Linked DNA regions of Oreochromis niloticus. The protein of the gene in region 1 interacts with the protein of each later gene in a pairwise test. Links are inferred from orthologs where the notes say so. Each region holds a gene or a part of one and is shown in the gene's direction. Other genes may lie near its edges. The genes, in order: gcc1 and znf276.

Region 1 (10,557 bases):
TTATGTTGATTTAGTGATTTATGAAAAAAAGCAGAAAAATTATTGCTCTATGAGGATTTTATGGCAGATTTTGTGCGTGTAAATTTTGTGTACATTTTGACACAAAGATGTCAAAAAGGTGCACAATGCATTAAAAGTATGGATGACATGTGAGAGTTAAAGACGCTCGATTATAAAAAAAAATTGACTCAAAAGATTTCCTGCAAAAGTTCATGCCACAAGCTATAACACAGACACAACGATCAGCAAATCAAAAAAAAAAAAAAAGAAGAAGAAGAAGTAGTTGGAAAAAATGAAATGAACAAAGATGCCCGAGGAGGGGAGAAAGGTTAAACAAAACTTTTTGGACTTGAGGGTAAACGTCTGAGCTCCACCTCCATTTTAATCCAGGTGCTCTTCAGACACCAAGACCAGGGGTGCATTCCAAAAGTTCCTCCTGTCTCCTATTCCTGACCCATTTTCCTTCACCTCACCGAGGTGGTTAGGACTGCTGAAAACTTAGGAAGAGTCGAGCCATTCACTGAAGACAGCCTCACACTCGACTCTCCTTAACCTCCTAAGACCTGAACTTTTTCATGGCGTGCATTTTTAATTTCTCTTTGCTATTTGGGCTGATTGCGACCTGATGAATGTAAAAACAAAGAATTACGGGATTTATTTTTTTTACCTGATTTTTGTTTCTGAGAAAAATGAGATCTACATATGAGGACATTCACTTTAAATTTTGATAGAACAGTGTCAGTATAACCAGGGGTGCACATAAGTGGTCCACAGGTGCGCATTCGCTGTCAAAGTAAAAGACGTGCACCAGATAAGAAGTTGCAACGCGCGTTTGCGTACATAAGATTTTCTGGAGGAGGACAGACATTTGTTTAGAACTCTTAAAGATGTCGAAGAAGCAAACTCCTTTAAGCAATTACTTTGGTGTTCCTCCACCTCCAAAGAAATGTCAGATGGAGTCCGAACCGCAAAAGAAGCGCGTATTCTCGGAAAAGTGGTTGCAGGAGGTGAGCTGGCTTCAAACAAATGATGAACGCACAGAGATGTGGTGCAGAATATGCCGCGAAAATCCCACTCTAGAGGACAAAAACAGTGCCTTTTATATTTACACAAACGCGCGTTGCAACTTATCTGGTGTGCGTCTTTTGACAGCGAATGCGCACCTGCGGACCACTTATGTGCATCCCTGAGTATAATGTCCTCGTAAGTGGATATCAGGCCCTCGTAGAGCAAAATTTAGTATTTTGGTCTAGACAACCCAAAATGTGATGTCCACATATGTGGACGCCAGGTCCTAGGAGGTTAATGGTGTGACGCCAGATGTCCGATGGACTACAAAACACCTAGCTTACTTTGCTGTGTTCTGTTGTTTTATGGCGGTCACATAAATGACAACAGGCTGTGACAAACGTCCTTCATGAACGGTCAGATTCCTTCACGTCTCTAGCAGCACACTTAATGCTCAAGAGCTCACACTGGATTATTTTGGTTTGCAGGCCTGCGGCACTCCCTCCTCTCGGTCTTTGAGCCGTTCCACTCGCAGCTGATTTTTTTTTTTTTTTTACTTAAGTGAAGCGGCTGCATCTTCATATTTAAATGATAAATAAATATAAACAGAACATCCTGGAAACGCAAAGTCCAAATCATTTGCGCCACTTAGTAAATCTGTCCAGTAGCCCATAAAGTTAAATCCAATATCTGATTGGTGGGTCAGAGGTCAGCAGGAGATCTTCAGGCCTATGCAAACATCTCATCGCACAGTTAACGCTGAATAAAGTTTCTCAAACAGAAAGCAGAACACACAGGTGAGAAGAAAAAAAAAACCTTTATTGCATCATGGTCTCAGTTTCTTCTTCACTTTGATAAGGAATGACGAGGCTGCCATACTTGGCTCTATGGAATGAGTCTTCGCACGACCAGGTGACCATCACCTGCCATAATTCCCGCCCCCAACGCCCAGGTGACCGTCACCTGCCGTAAGCCCCGCCCCTCCTCCTGTCACATGAATCTGAGTTAAAACATGCGGCTTAAAAGAAAGAAGATCTAACAAACACCTGAAAAACAGAAGAAGAGGATGATGGGAAATGAAGGTGAGCTCAGAGTCCATGACATCACTTCCTCCTACAGACACACAGGTATAATTTAAAAAAAAAAAAAAAAAAAAAAAAAGAGAAAAAAAAGAAAGAAACATGGAGCGATGACACGCTCCTCCTCCTCCTCTTCCTCATCTGTACACGGTGACATCAGCGGCTGAAATCAGTCTGCTTTCTACTTCCTGTCAGGTGGTTTAACGCTTCGAGAGCTCATTGGACAGCCAGTCCAGTCCCTCGTACAGACCTGTGCCCTGCGTCGCACAGGTGGCCTGCACGTGCCACTGAAACACACACAGATCATCACAGGTGAGTGGGCAGGTACAGGGAGCACACACAAGTGAGTTTAACTGTCTAAACAGATTTAGCTCCATAAGTTTGTGGACAGTGACATCAAGACCCCTGAGTGGATTTTCTAACAACCAATTAGGATGCAACTATAAAATTAAAACCCAAGGGTTCCACCCACTGGCACTGACATCACAGATTACCAGCAGAGGGAGATATTTTATTTCAAGCCAACATGAAAATACTCGCGATTACAAAGACATTATTAACACTTTTACATGTACATCCATATCAGCCACCCAACTTAATCGATTCTGATGATTAATGGAATTATTTTGCTCACTACCCACATCTTGGCTTTAAATATATCATTTCCTCCTGCTGGTAGTGCAGATTACTGCAGCTTCAACATGAAGCTTTGTCGCGATATTGGGTTGGCTGATGTGCTCAGAGCTCCACCCCCAGACCAATGCTGTGGGCTCATTTGAGGTCACCCCACTGTCTCCTGTTTTGTATACTGATTGACTGATTATTGATTTCACAATTACAGAACTGAGCAAGAAAAACAGCTGAGAACTTAGATCATCAGTCAATAAACCATGGAGGGAAACATGAGAAACAGAACTCAGTCTGTAGTACTGATCAGTGCGGATGGGTTATTGATCCTTACGGTTCTGCTGCGCAGGCTGTGCAGACCCAGCTTGTCGGTGAGCTCGCTGACACCCATGGCGTTCGGGAGATCCTGTTTGTTGGCGAACACTAGAAGTACCGCGTCCTTCAGCTCGTCCTCCTGGACCTGCACAGAGTCATGTGACATACAGTCAGTGGTTACCATGACGATCATGAGTCTAATGATGCGTAACTGTAAAGTGATCAAAGGGACCGACCATCTTAGAGAGCTCCTCCGCCGACTCGGCGACTCGCTCCCTGTCATTACTGTCCACCACGAAGATCAGACCCTGTGATCAATACATCAGTCATCGATACAATTAATACATCAATACAGTGATTAATGGATCCTGCCCACAGTGAAAGTCTGTGCTGTGTGTGTTGTGCTGCAGAGTCAGGGATCTAAAATAAGCTCCTCAGGTGTTTCTGAGGGGGAATGCAGCCGTGTTAGGACTCATGTTTGACTTTGTTGATTTTCCTGCAGCACCTCTGTAAAGCTGTGGAAACACAAACCTGACGTTCTCACAGCACTGAAGAAATTGTTTATTTAAGTTCAGTTGCTTTTCTTACTGAAAGTTCGATTAAAAAAAAATATTTATGCTTCAAAACGTTTCTGAAGCAGTTCCCAGACTTTTTACTGATTATATATTTAAGCCGGAACATCTGGAATGAGGATGATGTTGTACACTGGGTTGTTTTGCTGCTTTATTACTGTTCAATAAAACATTTCTTTTACTAGCATGCATATACACATAAATGTCACTTCTATTTGTACACACGTTTGACATTCTTCTATGTATTTTATACTTTTAGATTGTTTTATATAGAATTATTTCAATGGACAGCAAATCCACTGAAACTTCATTCAAATATGCACTAACTGTTCTGATAAATTATGCTATTCTATTCTACTCTATTCTATGTTACTTATTGCTAAAGAAGAGCTTTATGGATATAAAGATATGATCAGATAGAGGATATAAATGAGGATTTTACTATAGATGAATATCTCAGGACAGATCAGATCAGTGAGGGGTCACAGAAGAAAACTTCTCATGAATGCCCAGGTAAACATAACTGAACCAGATCAACCTGAACATCTCGTTCCTCAGAGAGAGAAAAGTCCCACACCTGCCTGCACCTGAGAGTTCTGCTTCTGTACCTGTGTGTTCTGGAAGTAGTGTCTCCACAGAGGTCGGATCTTGTCCTGACCGCCAACATCCCAAACTGTGAAGCAGATGTTCTTGTACTCGACTGTCTCCACGTTAAAGCCTGAACACACAACCACACACACAGAGTTGTGAACAGGTGACTCTTTGTCAAATTTAAAAAAAAAAAAAAAAAACAGCTTTTAATGACCTTCAAACATTCCAAGTCACAGGAAACAGAATCACTGACAGGAAACTACACATCCCATCAGCCCGCTGGGAACCAACAATAAATATCACAGTACAACAGTGACTGTAACAGTATATAAAGTTAGAGTGAAGCAGTAGCACTGAAATACCTGCACAGAGGAGACACCTGTGTAAACTGAAACTATAAGACTGAGGATGACTTGACTATAAACGTTGATGTTTCATTTCTCCATGATTGTAGTTTTAATGGTTCCATATCTATAGCTGTGTAAACGCTGGTGGTGTGTATAAGTTTAGCTTGTATTTACCTGCTTTAAACGTTTGTTTTCACCATTGTAAGTGTGTGTCTGCACTTTCATCATTTATGTTTCTTGTTTTGGTACCTTATTTATTCAAACTAACAGGTGACTCTTATTCTAAAAGGTCACTTGACCTGTAGACGCAGACGCAGGAGAAGTTTAAAGAAAATAGTGCAAGTGCCAGCACGCCTGGGGAATCCTCACTCAAACCGATCAGATCTGATCAATACCACGTTCAAACCACCTGACTACACAGTCGGCTGATTATTGATCACATGACCTCATTTGGTCCCTGAGTCCTGATGACGTACCGATGGTGGGGATGGTGGTGACGATCTCTCCGAGCTTCAGTTTGTACAGGATCGTAGTTTTTCCAGCAGCGTCCAAACCGACTGAAACACACATCAAAGATTAATCCCAGATTAATTAAATGTCTCACAGTGGTTCAAGTTTAACCCGAGATTACTTAAACCTCATACAGTGAATAAAGACTAATCTGAGATTACTTAAACCTAGATCAGAGTCCAGCTGCTGGTTTAAAGCTCAGATCAAACCGGGTTTAATGGTTTTTATGGACTTAATAAGATGACACCGGTACAGTTTTAGGTTTAACCCCAGATTAAAACATCTTAACCCAGTTTAACCCCCGTTTAGACCCCAATTTAACTCGGTTTAACGGACTGTTATCAGCCTGCTTCCTTCCGTTAGCTCCGAGCTAACAGCCTCTTGCTTCTCCGAGCCGGACTTTTGCCTCTCCCTGCACGGGAAGATCGGGCCCGCGGTCCGCAGGACTCGGTGAGCGGGTTCCTGGTAAAATGAGACGGTGTGTGGTGCTGGTGAGCCCGCGGAGCCGCTTGCAGCCGCCCCGGAGCCCGGCCGGTTAGCCCGTTAGCTCGTTAGCCTAGCCCCCGCTTACCCATCAGGATCCTCATCTGTTTCTTCCCGAACAGTCTGGAGAACAGCGACGAGATTGTGAGGCCCATGGCTGCGGAGAGGAGGCGGTGGCAGGTCACACACTGACGGCGGGTAGAGCCGGAGGTCCGGGAGCAGCAGCGGAATGGAGCCGAGAAGGCGCGGAGCGGAGCGGAGCGGAGCAGAGCGAACTGAGGGCGCAGCTCCTCTCGGTGCCACGTCCAGGCCAACGCGGAACAAATGACGTCACTGCTGCGCTTTAAAAAAAACAACAACTTTATTAACAGCATAGCAAACACCGCGGCGTTCACTGTCCGCTCAAACACCGTACATTCGAGCTCTGCGCATGAAGTGAAGTTCATGGGCTGCGAGGAACACTCTCGGCTCCGGGACAGCCATTTATATTAATACGTTTAATTTATATGTATATATGTCACTATGTTCACGTCATTATACAACAGAACATAACAAAGTGAAATACACACGTACTGCTTCTGTGACAGTGCTAAAAACATATATGTGTGTAGAATAATAAAGCGTTTTCTATTGAAGAACGGAAGAACAGAATTTAATGAACGGAATCATGAAAATATTTTCAATCAATCATCAACCAACAAAGTTAAAATTAATTTCTAATAAAATTATTTTTTAATCTAATAGTTTATTTCTAAAATTTGTACAAAATAAGAAAAAAATGTTTTTCTCCCAATAAACAATCAATTCAAAATACTGTATTGCTTTCAGAAATGTTAAACATATTAATAATAATATATATATATATATACATATGCTTTATTGGCTGTGTTTGGCTGTTTATTTAATTTAAATCAGTGAGTTTTTAATTTAAATCAGCTAAAAAAAAAAAAAATCATCCTATTGTGCATTTTCCTGACGTCCGTGAACAAAGTAGTAAACTCCCGCCTCCTCCGTCTCAGTCACTTCCGGTTCGGTCCAACATGGCGCCTGTTGACAGATGAAGCTTTGAGTCGGATTTCACTCATCGATTGGGTCGATTATTGACCACCTGTGACGGACAGGTTGCGAGTTTGTGATCCACATCGAACCGGTTTGTCGGCGCAGTGTGAGGAGAGACGATCAAAGCGGCGGAAAAATCAGTCAAAGGGAGAAACAAACACTGAGAAAGAGAAAGAGGTGAGAAACTGTTTTACTCCTCCTTCTTCTTTTGTGTTCCAGCACAAAGTTTCAGCTTCACAGAAACCATCCATCGATAATTGATCGATGAGTGATCTGAACAGCTGTTCTCTGTTTCCCCTCTAACAGGAAGTCAATGCTAAGGTTCTGTTCATGTTCTGGTGTCTGTGATCAGAGGCTCACCTGGACAGACCTGGTCAGACCTGGACGAGGTCATGGAGAAGTTCGGGATGAGCTTTGGTGGCGGTCCGAGCAGGAAGGAGCTGCTGGACACGGTGGAGTCCCAGAAGAAGCAGCTGATCCAGTACCAGACCCGCTTTAGGGATGTGGTCCGGGCCTACAAGAGCCTCCTGAAGGAGAAAGAGGCGCTGGAGGCCAGCCTTAAGGTCCTAAGCGTGACCCAGGACCTGGACCTGACCCAGAAGGGTTCGGCCACCGCCACACCGGAGCTCACCGAGGATGGCTGCTCGCTGCACAGCGAGGACAGCGTGGATATGGCGGCGTCTCTGGACATGGCCAGCGAGACTACAAGAGGCGACCAGAGTGAGGAGGACCAGGCAGAACTGGGAGGAAGGCTGGTGGTACGTTACTTTGACAACTGAACTTAAATCACCAGAACACAGTCAGAACTTGATGACATCATCATCATCACCATAACGCTCTGATAATGTCATGTCTTATTCTCTGACTCCATGTTTGTTCTGCAGGGATCTGAACCCGATGGCAGCTCTGAGAGTGGCAGCGTGGGGACAGAACAGCAGCAGGCTACGCCCCCTCCCGGCATGGAGGCAGACCGTAGAGTCGCCCAGTTGAAGAGCCAACTGAGCACGCTCACAAGCTCGCTGGCCACGGTGACGCAGGAGAAGTCGCGAATGGAGGCGAGCTTCCAGGCAGACAAGCGGCAGCTGAAACAGGAAGTTGAAGAGCTGCAGGAACGTCTGGTCTCCATGACAACACAGCACGAGGCAGAACTGCACAACCTGCAGCAGCAGCTCGCTGAAAGTCGCGCTCGCATCATTACGCAGCAGCACGAGCGCGAGCAGGAGCAGGGGGACCACGCTCAGCAGCTCCGCGAGCTACAGAGGCTCCTCCAGGCCGAGCGAGACCTCCGCCAGGACGCCGAGCTCCACCTCCAGGATGCCAGCACCGCCCTGCTTGTGACTTCACAGGCCGTGGACCGGGGGGCGGAGTCCGAGGCTCTCCTGAACCAAGTCAAGGAAGAGAGAGACGAGCTGAGGCGGAGGCTGCAGGCCGCCGAGGAGGAGCAACGAATACCCGACCCCAGAGTGGACGAGCTGCAGCAAGAATTGAACAAGCTGAAGAACCAGGTCCAGGAGCAGGTCCAGCTTGAGACCCGCAAGGTGAGCCCAGAACCAGGTCCCACTAAACAAAGTCCCAATAAAACAGGTCCTAGGGAATCTGGTTTAACCACATTAAACAGCTGAAGCTCTAACAGACCAGGTAAACTAGAACAGGAAGTGAGGTCATCTCTGTGTTCGTGTTGCAGGTTTGCGATGCAGAAGAGCGTGCTCATGAGCGTGCTCAGTTGGCTGAGGCCCGGGTGGCGGTCCTGGAGCAGCGTGTATCGGAGCTGTCAGAGCTGCTGGGCTCGTGTGAGAAGGCAAGGCAGCGTGACCAGCAGGCAGCACAGAGGCTCCGTGATCGCGTGCTGCAGCTCGACACGGAGAACAAAACACTCGCCATCGCTGCCTCCAGCCGGGCGACCTCTGACCTCGGGCCAGATGAGCAACTGGACGTGGGGGCGCTGCGGGAGAAGCTGCAGAAGGTGAAGAAGCTGCTGCTCCTTGCGGCTCAGAGGAACCCCGACCAGAACATCCAGGACTTGGAGGTGGAGCCGGGTTCAGATGCGGCGGCGGCAGCCCTCGCTTATCAGCAGGAGCTGCGGCAGCTGAGGGATGAGTTTGAGCGCTACAAGGTGCGTGCGCAGGTGGTTCTGAAGAACAAGAACACCAAAGATGGCTGCCAGGCGCGGGAACTGGAGGAAGTCCGCGACCAGCTCGCCGAGCTGCGTGAGAAGTACATAAACCTGCGTGTGCAGAGTGACGAGGCCGAGGCCCACCACCGCCAGCAGCTTGATGAGCGCCAGCAGCAGGCAGTGTCGCTGCAGCAGGCACACCGGCAGGAGGCGGAGCGTCTGGAGGCACTCCACCGTGACGAACTGTTGCGACTGGAGGCAGAGCTTCACAAGCAGCGTGAGCGCACCATGGCGTTGCTGGATGAGAAGGACCGCGAGCTGGAGAGGCTGCGGGCTGCTGCCGCCACACTCAGCTGGTCCAACCGTGTTGACAACACACCCACCAACCCTCAAGAGAATGGCCCCGACACAGAGACCGACGCGATCAGCCAGGCGCTGCGGCAGGCCACACCCAATGAGTCAACACTGCTGCTGTACGCTGAGCAGCTCGCACGTAAGGAGGTGGAGGTGGGCGCGCTGCGGCGGCAGAAGAACCGACTGGAGGAGGACACGCGCCAGCTGCAGGAACGACTCATTGCAAACGCAGAGCATCATGATGAGGAGGTGGCAGCCCTGCGTGACCGCCTCGAAAAACTGATCCGGGACCAGAGCCGCGAGGGCGCCAACATGGAGTACCTGAAGAATGTTGTGTACCGGTTTCTGACGTTGCATGACGCCAACGGGCGCCAGCAGACACTCACTGCCATTCTCACCATCCTGCACTTCAGCCCGCAGGAGAAGCATGATGTCATGAGGCTGCAGGGCAGCACCTGGTGGATGGGACGCAGGTAGAGTACCTGAGGAAGAAAACACTTCTGCAGCAAGAAGGAAGGTGCAGGAAGAACACCTGGGCATCTGAGCCAGTGAAGGCGTGGCTTCGTGCTGCGCTTGAGGGCATCTGTGTTTTTCATCTTCCTGGTGTTTCTCTGACGGTTTGCTGCTCTCTGAGCGTCATGTGACTTCAAACACTACAAACACGTTAACATGTGACCTTCGCTGGTCAATCAGCTGATGTATATTTTTGATTCAGATTAAAATATTTTTCCTGCTTCAGTCTGTGTCCGAGCGTCAGTGAAGTGCCTTGATGATGACACAACTCTAAATACGATTTGCTTTGCCTGGTCCAGCCTCTTCAGGTGAGATCACCTGTCTAAAGCTGCAGTTCCTGCTTTTACTAGCCTCCGATTGGCTGGCTTTGTGAGGAACAGTGAAGACACCCATGTCAGATTACAGGTGAGCCAGGTGTTTTTGAAGCCTGAAGCTTTGTTTTATTTCACAGTTCTGACAGACATACACACGTCACACTGATCAAATACTTCACCACTGAGCTTCTCTAACATCTGTCCACATCTGCAAACGCTGCATTCAGGTGCACAGAACAAAGTCAGAAATGTTCATAAATGTGTTTGCACTGATCTTCACTCAGACGTTCAGATGTGGAGCCTTAATTATTTTTATATAAAATAAATAAGGAAAGAGAAACAAAGAATCAGAGGTTTCCTTCTCGAGGTCTGAAACTGAAGCAAGTCTGAAGCATGAAAGAGCAGCAGTATGAAGAGCAAAGGTTTATGATGACGTCATCAGACCACAAGAAATTACATTTCACCATGACATGAGAGGAACTTAAAGCCTTTCCGTTCAGTCGGAATCCTCGAGGAGATTAGAATAAAACAAGGACAGGAAGTGATCAGACTTTAATTTCAAAATAAAGGTTTACAAACAAACAAAGTGGAGCTTCATTCTTAGTGTTACATTCAGTTTGTGGAGATGATAGAAAAATACCACTTCTGTGAAACGCAAACAGCCTGATTCCA
Region 2 (10,328 bases), on another chromosome or scaffold:
GTATGCGTTTCTGACCAGTGTGACCATGTGTTAGTGATGATTTGGGGAAGCAGATACTTGGATGTTCATACAGATAAAAATAATGCAACACTGCAACACCAAATTACACTCCCTAGCAGGTCGAGGACCTTAACCATGTTCTTTGCTCATTTTAACACTGGCACTAGACACACGGCTCGATTGGAGCTGGATCACCTGGAGCTGAGACCGAACAGAAAGAAGGTGAGGAGTGCACTGCGTGGAGTCAGAACCCGGAAAGCATCAGGGCCTGACATACTTGAGGCATGTGCAGACCAGCTAGCTGAGGTATTCAGGGAAATCTTCAACCTCAGCCTGACCGAAGCGATCATCCCCACCTGCCTCAAAGCCAAAACAACTGAGCTCATATCTGAGCAGAAACATGTGAGTAGTCTAAATTACCACAGGCCAGTTTCACTCACTTTGGTGGTAGTGAAAGGATGACTCTAGTCCACATGAAATGCAGGGGGCATGTCAGGTTTGCAAAACACACACTGTCACCCTGAACCTTGGCATTCCCCATGGATGTGTGCTGCTCCCTCTCCTGCATGCTCTCTTCAACCACGACACTGTCCACGTGAAAAACTCCATCATCAAGTTTGCAGATGACACAGCAGTCATGGGACTGGGTTCCTATAGACTCAGCCTATAGATGATGAGATGAGATAGCCTTTATTTGTCAGTTGCAAGTCTTTTGCCCACAACCGAGATGACAGACCTTGCCGACCGCACATACAATACAAACATCACATTGGGGAGACAGGTCAGGCCAGGTAGCGAGGAAAAAAACATCGAAATATGTAACACAAAAGGATAATACAGGAATGCACAGATATCAACACACCATAACACAATAAACACAGACAAGCAACATGGGAAAGTGTTCCAGTGTGTACATCTGATCTGGGACCACTGCAATCTTCGACTGCGCCTCCAACTGACCCGATGTCCACATCAGAGGGGAGGTAAGCGTTGGAGGTGGCGTTTGGTAGGGAGGGTGATGCGTCAGTGAGTGCTTATCAGTATCAGTATATGTATGTGTCTGTAGGAACGCAACAACTCACAAAAAAGCATATGTATATCTGTTTACATACATTTTACACTGTTTATAGATCTGTACATAGTCTGTCATACATTTTTGCTGATTTCCACAACTGAATATTTTCATTTCATTTCAGCCTCATGTGTAGTCTTCAGTAGTGTTCCTCACTTTTGGATAATTCACATTCTAGTCAGTTTGACTGTTCGCTAAAGGAATAGTTTTGACTGTATGTGTTGTTTATTCTTTATATTACTGTAAAAGCCTGTCTTCAAAGATAAAGATAAGATAAAGAGGTGCTTTAGACTGTATAATGACTATTGCATTATAAATGCACAAACAAAACCACAAAAACATGTTTGACATGAGTCATTCCCCCATTTTAATGAAAATGTGTGTGTGGTGAAGTGAAGTAATGGAAGTAGCTTCGTGTACACAAGATCTTATCTGTGTTCAGTGGTGTAAAGGAGAAACCTATTTAAATCACTTCCGTGCATGCATCTGCAACCCTTTCTTCATGATCATTCTGTCACCTTGATTTAGTTTTTTATTTAGTTTTATTTGTGTGTGTGTGTGTGTGTGTGTGTGTGTGTGTGTGTGTGTGTGTGTGTGTGTGTGTGTGTGTGTGTGTGTGTGTGCCTGGTGCAAAACAGCCTAACACATTATGCAATCTAAACACATGTAAAAAGATAAAAACATATGAAAAAACATATTCTATGTTAAAAAAAACCCCCAAAAACACCCATTGTATTTCAGTGAGGTACAAGATCACTTTTAGGTGACTTCATTCTTATTTCCTCAAGTCTATTACAGTTTTTCACACTTGCTAAGGCCTATTTATTTTCTCAAAAGCTACCCACTTCTTATAATGTGACCAAATAAGATGGCCAGTTAGCAACCAAGCAACTAAACAAGGCAAAACTTCAACTAAATATTAATTCTTCTACACTTTGAACACAAACTACATTCACCTCTGAGTCTCATGGCTACACCGCACAATCACATCAAAACAATTTTATCAGTGCTCAGAACCGCATGTTATCAGATTGCACTCATAAAGCATCAGGATAATACCAGAGCTCAGCATTGGTTAAAAAATCAGAGTCGGGACACGTAACTCAAGCCTTTCCAGCTTCACGTGCCGTGTCGTCATCTCCAAAAATGTGCTGGAAAATCAGAAAGGAATGTATAGAAACATCAATATACACTAAAGATTCTAGACTGCGGTGGCAACAGAGGACCTTCAGAGATATATTTACATATACACAAGGTCTATGTCTCATACTACAGTTTGCTTATGAAAGAGGGCAGCTTCACATGTTTTCTCATCCTGTGTGTTCAGCGGGGTTTTTGTGTGTGTGTGTGTGTGTGTGTGTGTGTGTGTGTGTGTGAAACTAATTCCCGGAATCAATCGCTCTTTTGGCAAAACCTTAAATTGTTGTCTTCTAGTTAGACCCAATTTTTACATCTTATTTAAATTCTTTTCAAAAAGCTCTAAACAAATTCTCACTCAATGGTAACAACAGGAAACACAACACGACTACAGCTCTGTTGTCATTTCGTGAACGTGACAACTCAAACTTTTTCACACTGATTGCTAATAAAGCGACCGGTGAGTTCCAGTGAGCTGAAGGTTTGATACCAAGAATGGGAGGAAACAATCAGAGAGGAGGAAGATGAGGAGGAGTGAGCTCTACCACAATAAATCACTTCTAATAAATATGATGAAATTTGATTCTCTGTGATAAAACTGTTTTTGCATATGCAGCAACCCAAATGAAAGAAAGCAGAAGATATTAATTTTACTTATAAAAGTAATCTACGTAATTCATCGTTTACTATAACGTTTCCTTGACTTATGCGTCTCAAAACCAAGGAGGATGAGAGAATGTTTAAGTCTGGAGCTTTATACAGCACGTATCACCTGTAAATGAGGGAAGTATAATGCTACCATAATCTTGAATCTTTACACTATACTCGTGTTTTGCTACATCACTTGCTGCGGTGTGAAACGGATGCTCAGCAGAGTTATTATCTTGACTGGTTGTGTATGTGAGCTGAAGACACTGTGTGGTTTTTATTGCTGATAAAACTGTTCCGATGCAATCATGAGGTTTTGTCTGATGAGTCAGAGGTTTTGAGAATATAATTTGAAAAGAGAAAGTCATAGATAAGTATTAACAAATAATTAAATGCAGAGTGGTGTATAAACACTCAGTGCATCATGGGAATCCCCCAGCAGCCTACACCTATTGCAGCACAACTAAGGAAGGATTCAGGGTCACCTGATCCAGCCCTAACTATATGTTTTGGCAAAAAGGAAACTTTTAAGCTTAATCTTAAAAGTAGAGGTAGTGTCTGTCTCCTGAATCCAAATTGGGAGCTGCTTCCACAGAAGAGGGGGGCTGAAAGCTGAAGAAAAAGCTAAAAGTGTTAAAAACCCACGGGACCACAACTAACCCCGCAGTCTGAGACCAAAAGTGTTCTGCTGGAGTGATAAGGTCCTCTGAGGTCTGTGAGATAAGATGAGCTGATAATTCAAGCTTATATGTGAGAAAGACTTTAAATTTGATTCTGGATTTAACAGTGAGCCAATGACGAGAAATAACCAGAGTTGGCAAAAGTGCAGACATTCTGTACTTAAGTAGAAGTACAAATGCTGCTGTTAAAAATGCTTCAGTAAAAGTTGAAGTACTGATTCAACTTCTTTACTCAAGTAAAAGCAAAAAAGTACAGGCTCTGAAATGTACCATAAGTAAGAAAGTAAAAAGTTGCTCTTTGGAGGATTGAACTGAACTTTGTGCTATATTAATATAATGATAAAATAATATCAGTAGATGGGAATACAAACTTTAAGCTATTTTTAATTCTACTTATACTCAGCTTAAGTCAGAAGGAAAAGAAGGAAAATTAAAAAAATAAATAAACAAATCTTTATTTTCTGTTGCCTACAGAGCCAATATCTGATTTAAAAACATAAGGACTTTAAATTACCAGTTTGTCAGACCCCACTGAGCAGTCCTTACCTTTAAATCTAAGCTCTCTTCTTTCTCTCCCGTCCTATTTTTCTTATCTTTCTCCATCTCTGAGTGACTTTAGCTCTTTTTTCTCTCTCTGTGAAATACAGCAGCTGGACCTTTAGCTAGCCACACACTGTGAGACAAACTGCACACAACCAGTTTGTGTGTTTGCTGACGCTGACAGAAACGTTCATTTGAAATGACCTGTCACTTAAAAAACGTCACTCTCTTTATTTTTACTCACTCCTTTTCAGTAGGAGTAGGTGTTGTGGCAAAAAACAACAACAACAACAACAAAAAACGCCTTCCCACTTTTAACCCCTGAGTTTGGTACACACGTCAACTCTTTTTATGCCACATCCTCTGGTGATTAATAAATGAACAGGACCACCTTTTATGTGTTTCTGTTCAGGGTCAAATCGGTTTAAAGTTTGGAGGCTAACAGTGAAGAAATAATATCTCCCCCCAAATGCGTTAAATCAAACGTAACGTGCCTGTTTTGAAAATGTAAGCAGTAGAAAGTACAGATATTTGTTTAAAAATGCAGGGAGTAAAAGTAAAAAGTAGTCAGAAAAAAACTACTCAAGTAAAGAACCGATATCTGAAAATTGTACTTAAGTACAAAGTATTTGTGTTTTGTTAATTCCCACCTCTGGAAATAACACAATTATATAAAATAGACTATCAGGATGAGACCTTCTTGCCATTTTAAAATATGTGATTGCAGACGGCCTGGGCATTGCCAGCTCTAAAGCTGAGTTAATGTCTATCACAGAGTCACTGCCGTCCTGTTGGGCCCCGACACTGTCTTTATTATATAAAGACAGTGTATATTTCAGGATGAAGACCACTCTATTTCACATTTTTTTGATGTCATCGTCTTACTTAGAGAGACCTTAAACAGGAAGTGAGTGGTGTTCATGCTTGAACCCCCCCCCCCCCATTAAAAATAATTATGCAAAGAGGAGTCGGCCAAAATTCCTCCACAGTGGAGGCTTCCGCGAGTGTGACTCTTATTTTGAGCGATGAAAAAACAATAGAATATAATTTTATTTTTATATTTCAATATCACAATAATCTTCCAATTTAGAACTACGAGTTAAAAAGAACTAACATAAATAAAATACACTTCAGCTAAATACTTCTAATTTATTTGCCCAAACCACGCGGAACCGCAGTATAAGGACTAAAGAGCCGCATGCGGCTCCGGAGCCGCGGGTTGCCGACCCCTGGCCTAGTCCTAGGAACAGCAAAGATACTGCACAGGACCCTTAAGGTCCCAGGTGTTTGGTAGAAGACCTGAGTTTGAAGGCTAAAGATCGCCTTGAGGGACAGGTCTGGGCTTCTTTGCTTCGTCTTCCTGCAACCTGATTTGAGAATAGTGGCACAAAATAATGGCTTATGAGTGGATATTATTATTGTTATTATTATTATTATTATTATTATTTTATTATCACATTCTCATTTTTAAAGAAAGCCTGAGCAAATAAAAGTATTTTTAAAAAGTCACTATTTCATGAATTTTATTAATTATATTTTACCCCAATACTTTTACTCTTCGGACTCTCCGGACTCTTCTCTGTGGACGGCAGGTGGCGCTCTTGGGTATCACCCCTCTGTGTTTTGTTCCGGTAGCGCTTCCGGGTTCTAATGTTTACATCTGGGAGCAGCTACAAAGCACACAGTTTGTTTTCCAGGCTAATGAAAACCTCTTTGTACGTTAAGAACAGCATGTTTTCCAAGTGCTAGGATCTGTGCACAGTCACGGTAGGCCCTCCATGACGAGTGCTGTAATTATGACGTCACGTGTGTTGTGTTTTAACACGTCAGCTAACAAATGTAGCAGGCTCACTCATGCTAACCAGCTAACGCTAGTTGAATTAATCTGTAAACAAAATCATGCTGAAGTGTAAAAACAATATCCGGGACCGTTGTCAGGGTTTTTGTTTTATCGGAGGCTTAAATCAAAGGTGCTGCGGCTTGATTGGCATTAGTATCCTGTTAACTTTATCCATGGATGGAGTTCCTGTGTCATCAATGTTAAAGATTTCTGAGAAAAAACTATTAAATGTATCTCAGAAGATTTACAAATGGACTGATTATTTTCTTTAAAGTACAACGAAGGTTTCAGATAATATTAAATGAGGTTAAAAAATTGTATTTATTATACAGCTGTTTTGTTAAGAAGGAGAAAAACCTCGTTCTGCCCCATGGACTCACCGACCACTTCATTAGGTATAGCTGGTCGTTGACAGATATCTAATCAGCCAATCACGTGGCAGCAACATAGTACATTTAGGCATGTAGGCATGAGGACCTGCTAACGCAGAAGTTCAAACTGAGCATCAGTGGCATGGCTGTTGGCGGCAGATCGGCTGGTCTGAGTATTTCAGAAACTGATGGATTTTTCCACAGAACCATTGCTAACGTTTACAGAGAATGGTTCAAAAAAGTGAAAATATTAAGTGAACAGCAGTTCTCCAGGTGAAAACACCTTATTGATGTCAGATGTCAGAAGAGAGTGGCCAGAGTGCTTCAGGCTGATAGGACGACAGTGACAACTCAAACACCCACTCGGTATAGCCAAGGTATGCAGAAAAGCATCTCTGAAAGTTGAAGCAGATGGGCTATAGCAGCAGAAGACTGCACTGATTGTCACTCCTGTCAGCAAAGAACAGGAAAATGAGGCTACAATTTGCACAGGCTCACTAGAACTGGACAATAGAGGAGTGAAAAAACATTTCCTGGTCTGAATTTGACATAAAAAACATCAAAATCATGGCTCTGTCCTACTTTGTATCAAAAGTTCAGGCTGCTGGTGATGGTGTAAAGGTGTAGGAGTATTTTCTTGGCACACTTTGTGCCCCTTAATAGCAGCTGAATATCACTGAAATACCACAGCCTACCTGAGTATTTCTGCTGACCATGTCCATTTCTTTATGACCACAGCGTATGCATCTTCTGATGCCTACTTTCAATGGGATAATGCACCATGTCACAAAGCTCAAATGATCTCAAACTAGTTTCTTGAACTGGACTGAAATTACATCCACAGTCACAGAGTACTTTTGGGATGTGTGTGGTAGATTCACATGATGGGTATGTAGCCAACAGTCTGCAGCAACTGTGTGATGGTTTCATGTCAGTATGAACCAAAATCTCTGAGTAAAGTTTCCAGCACCTTGTTGAATCTAAAGCAAGAAGAATTAAGGCAACTCTGAAGGACAAAGAGGTCCAACTTACTACTAACATGTTGTACTCAATAATAATAATAATAATAATAATAAAGTGCTTGGTGAGTGTATGTACACGTTGATCCACGCTTCCTGCCAGCTTGTTTAAATGATGACAGTAATTTCATAAGTTTTTACATTTTACAACTGGTTCTGGTTCTAAATGAAACTTTGGAGCAACATAATAAGCAGGACTGATCTATTTGTAGTTAAAGTAAATAGTCTGTGGTACCTTACTTCACAGAAGCATACGAATTTTCCTGTTGTTGGCCATAAACAAAATATTATTTAAGCTTTAGTAAATAAAATCTCATTAAAAATAGGAAATGGGTAATATATTTCTATCACAATCCTGGTGATTTTGCGTTTTGTAGAAAGCCAAAACCTCTTTGGTGAGCACAAAAAAACCCTGGTATGTGTCTGTCGTTGTCTTTAGATGGAACAAAAACTCAGAAATGCTAAATATTTTGTTGTTTATTACACTGACACAGGCAGCCTTCACGAGATCAGCTGCTGACAAAAATAACAATAAACGATGAAGAAGAAAAGCAGACATACGAGGTCTTCTGAGACTCCGCAAAAGCTCAGCAGGACGCCAATGCCAGTGGATGTCACCCGTGAGAAGAGGTCACCTGGAAACAAAGGGCGACCTCGGAAGACTGCCGCTGTAACCACAGACAGTTTCTACCTGAATGACAGCGCAACAGAAAAAAACGCCGACGCAGACTTCAATGTGATGACAGCTGAAGACACCCAGAAACATCCAGAGACTAAGTCCAGATCTTCAGGTTAGTGGCTCACTACGCCCGTTTTAAACACAGGAAGTTGATGTTAGTGTAAGTTATTGTTGGATATTTGTCATGTGATTCTCAAACTACTTAACTTTGCAAAGCCAGTGCAGAAAAAACAATGTTACGGGCCTTTAATCAGTAGATACTGTGTGTTTGGCACAAACCAAGGAAAATCAAGTATATGGTATATTTCTCTGTTAATGTGGACAATAGTAAATTGTGTTATGGGAGCGCTGTAAGATGAAATCAAGTTATGATGCCCCCACAGGTAGACTCTCTGCTGCTGTCTGCCGGCTTTGTCACGGGAAGTTTTCCCCGCGCAGCTTGCGGCACGCCTTCAACAAATGGCCTCGGGATTCCCTCAGTATCGTAGACGAGGAGTCAGACGCCGTGGCCCAGTCACCCCTTTTGTTCCACACAGACTTCCAAAGGCTGGTCGGGGTCCAGGTGGACCGTGACCCTCGGCTTTCGGAATTTATTTGCAAGAAATGCCATGCAAAGTTTTACAAGTGCCAAAGCATCCTGATCCGGTTTCTGCAGAGAGTCAACCTCCCCCCTGTGGGGAAGGAGAACCTGAAAAATCAGTGAGTCAATAAAGAAAACAAATATGTCTACCTGAGGGTGACTATAAATTGTTTTTACTGCAGAAAAACATGTGGAAGTGTTTGTGTTTGTTTCAGGAAGAATGCAAAGGGTCCAGAGTCCTCTGTAAACCATTGCTCATCAAGTAAGTAAAACATTACTTCCTCACTCCATCTTGCTGAAGTTACATAAGTTGAACTGTTCTGACAGGCTCTTCTATTTTCTTCAGCTCCTTCATCCTTTACCTCAGACACAAAGTGCCTCCACAGTCTGGTGTCCTGGGCTCATCACCACGGAGAGGCCTGCCGCTCCTGCCCCGACCTGAAGGAGGTGCTGGAGGGCCAGTGTCTGGGCTCCGTAAAGGCTGTTTGGGGCTGCGTCGATGGTCACAGATACATTATGGACACTCAGCGCAGCACCACCTCCAACCAGTGCTCGAGCAATAGAGCATTAGGGAGTGGGAGGGGTGATGGAGTGATGTCAGAGGAGGAGGAACAAGAGCAAGACGGCGAGGAAGATGAAGAGGAGCAATCCGGCGGGAACGGAATAACCTCATCGAGAAGTACTAGTACTGTGGTTCAGCGCAGTCCACCTGCAGCAACGGCTCAGACGCAGAGCTCAGCGCCTGATGACTGGACAGGCGACAACGAAGGTGGGAATGCTTACAGTTGTTCAGACTGACACAGAGACTACGGGTGTATCAGCCCTCTTATACAGCTTCAGTTGTTTCAAGATGTTTTATGTTGTACAATAAAAGACTCGCACAAGATCAGAGATAAACCCCAACAATCAGAAAATCACTGTGCTCAGTGACAGGCAGCCACCTGCTGCAGTCACACTACAGGAGACTACATGCCAGGAACACACTCGCCCAGGAGGCATCCTTATTCGATGCCCAAACCACCTCAACTGGCTCCTTTCGATGTGGAGGAGCAGCAGCTTTCCTCTGAGCACCTCCCGGATGGCTGAACTTCTCACCCTATCTCTAAGGGAGAGGCCAACCACCCTTCAGAGAAAGCTCATTTCTGCTGCTTGTATCCGTGATCTCATTCTTTCGGTCACTACCCACAGCTCGTGACCATAGGTGAGGGTGGGATGCAGATCGACCGGTAAATTGAGAGCTTCACTTTTACACTCAGCTCTCTCTTCACCATAAGGCTGAGGAGTGGGATCCCCCCTATAGTTGGAATACAACCTCCCGTCCCCCTTCTTAAAACTGGGAACCACCAGCCCGGTCAGGAGTTTTGTAACTCCCTCAGCACCTCGCCCCCGGAGATAGGTGTCTCCTTCTTCAGCCTGGTGGCTCCCTTCACCTCTGGTGTCCACCATTTGGTTCGGAAGTTACCACCATGACAGGCACCAACCATCTTTCGGCCGCAGCTGAGTGCAGCAGCTTCAGCAATGGAGGTGCTGACATTGGTCCATTTGGACTCAGTGTTCCCAGTCTCCCTTGGAATGCTGTTAAAGCTCTGCCAGAGGTGTGCGTTGAAGATCTCGCAGACCGGGGCCTCTGCCAGGCGTTCCGAGTGCACCCTCACTATACGTTTAAGTGCACCAGGTCTTTCCAGCATCCTCCCTCGCCACCTGGTCCAACTCACCACCAGGTAGTGATCAGTTGAAAGCTCAGCCCCTCTCTTTACCTGAG

The links.
Region 2: the proteins of gcc1 (region 1) and znf276 interact in binary tests that used the Homo sapiens proteins (3 or more experiments, as listed by UniProt). The two-hybrid records come from large-scale screens. The link is inferred for Oreochromis niloticus from reciprocal best matches to the Homo sapiens genes GCC1 and ZNF276.

Annotation. Positions count from the first base shown.
Region 1 is NC_031981.2:23,184,006-23,194,562, reverse strand, and holds gcc1 (GRIP and coiled-coil domain-containing protein 1), read left to right. Parts: upstream 1-6,537; 5' UTR 6,538-6,768; intron 6,769-6,897; 5' UTR 6,898-6,983; coding exon 6,984-7,349; intron 7,350-7,475; coding exon 7,476-8,129; intron 8,130-8,275; coding exon 8,276-9,535; 3' UTR 9,536-9,796; downstream 9,797-10,557. Other genes in the region: ADP-ribosylation factor 4, read right to left, coding at 2,288-2,374, 3,049-3,174, 3,266-3,337, 4,210-4,319, 5,016-5,096, 5,621-5,687. UniProt on the Homo sapiens protein: Probably involved in maintaining Golgi structure.
Region 2 is NC_031972.2:5,276,799-5,287,126, reverse strand, and holds the start of znf276 (zinc finger protein 276), read left to right. Parts: upstream 1-5,701; 5' UTR 5,702-5,844; intron 5,845-6,560; exon of another isoform or gene 6,561-6,665; intron 6,666-7,801; 5' UTR 7,802-7,845; coding exon 7,846-8,098; intron 8,099-8,369; coding exon 8,370-8,685; intron 8,686-8,781; coding exon 8,782-8,828; intron 8,829-8,912; coding exon 8,913-9,335; intron 9,336-10,328. UniProt on the Homo sapiens protein: May be involved in transcriptional regulation.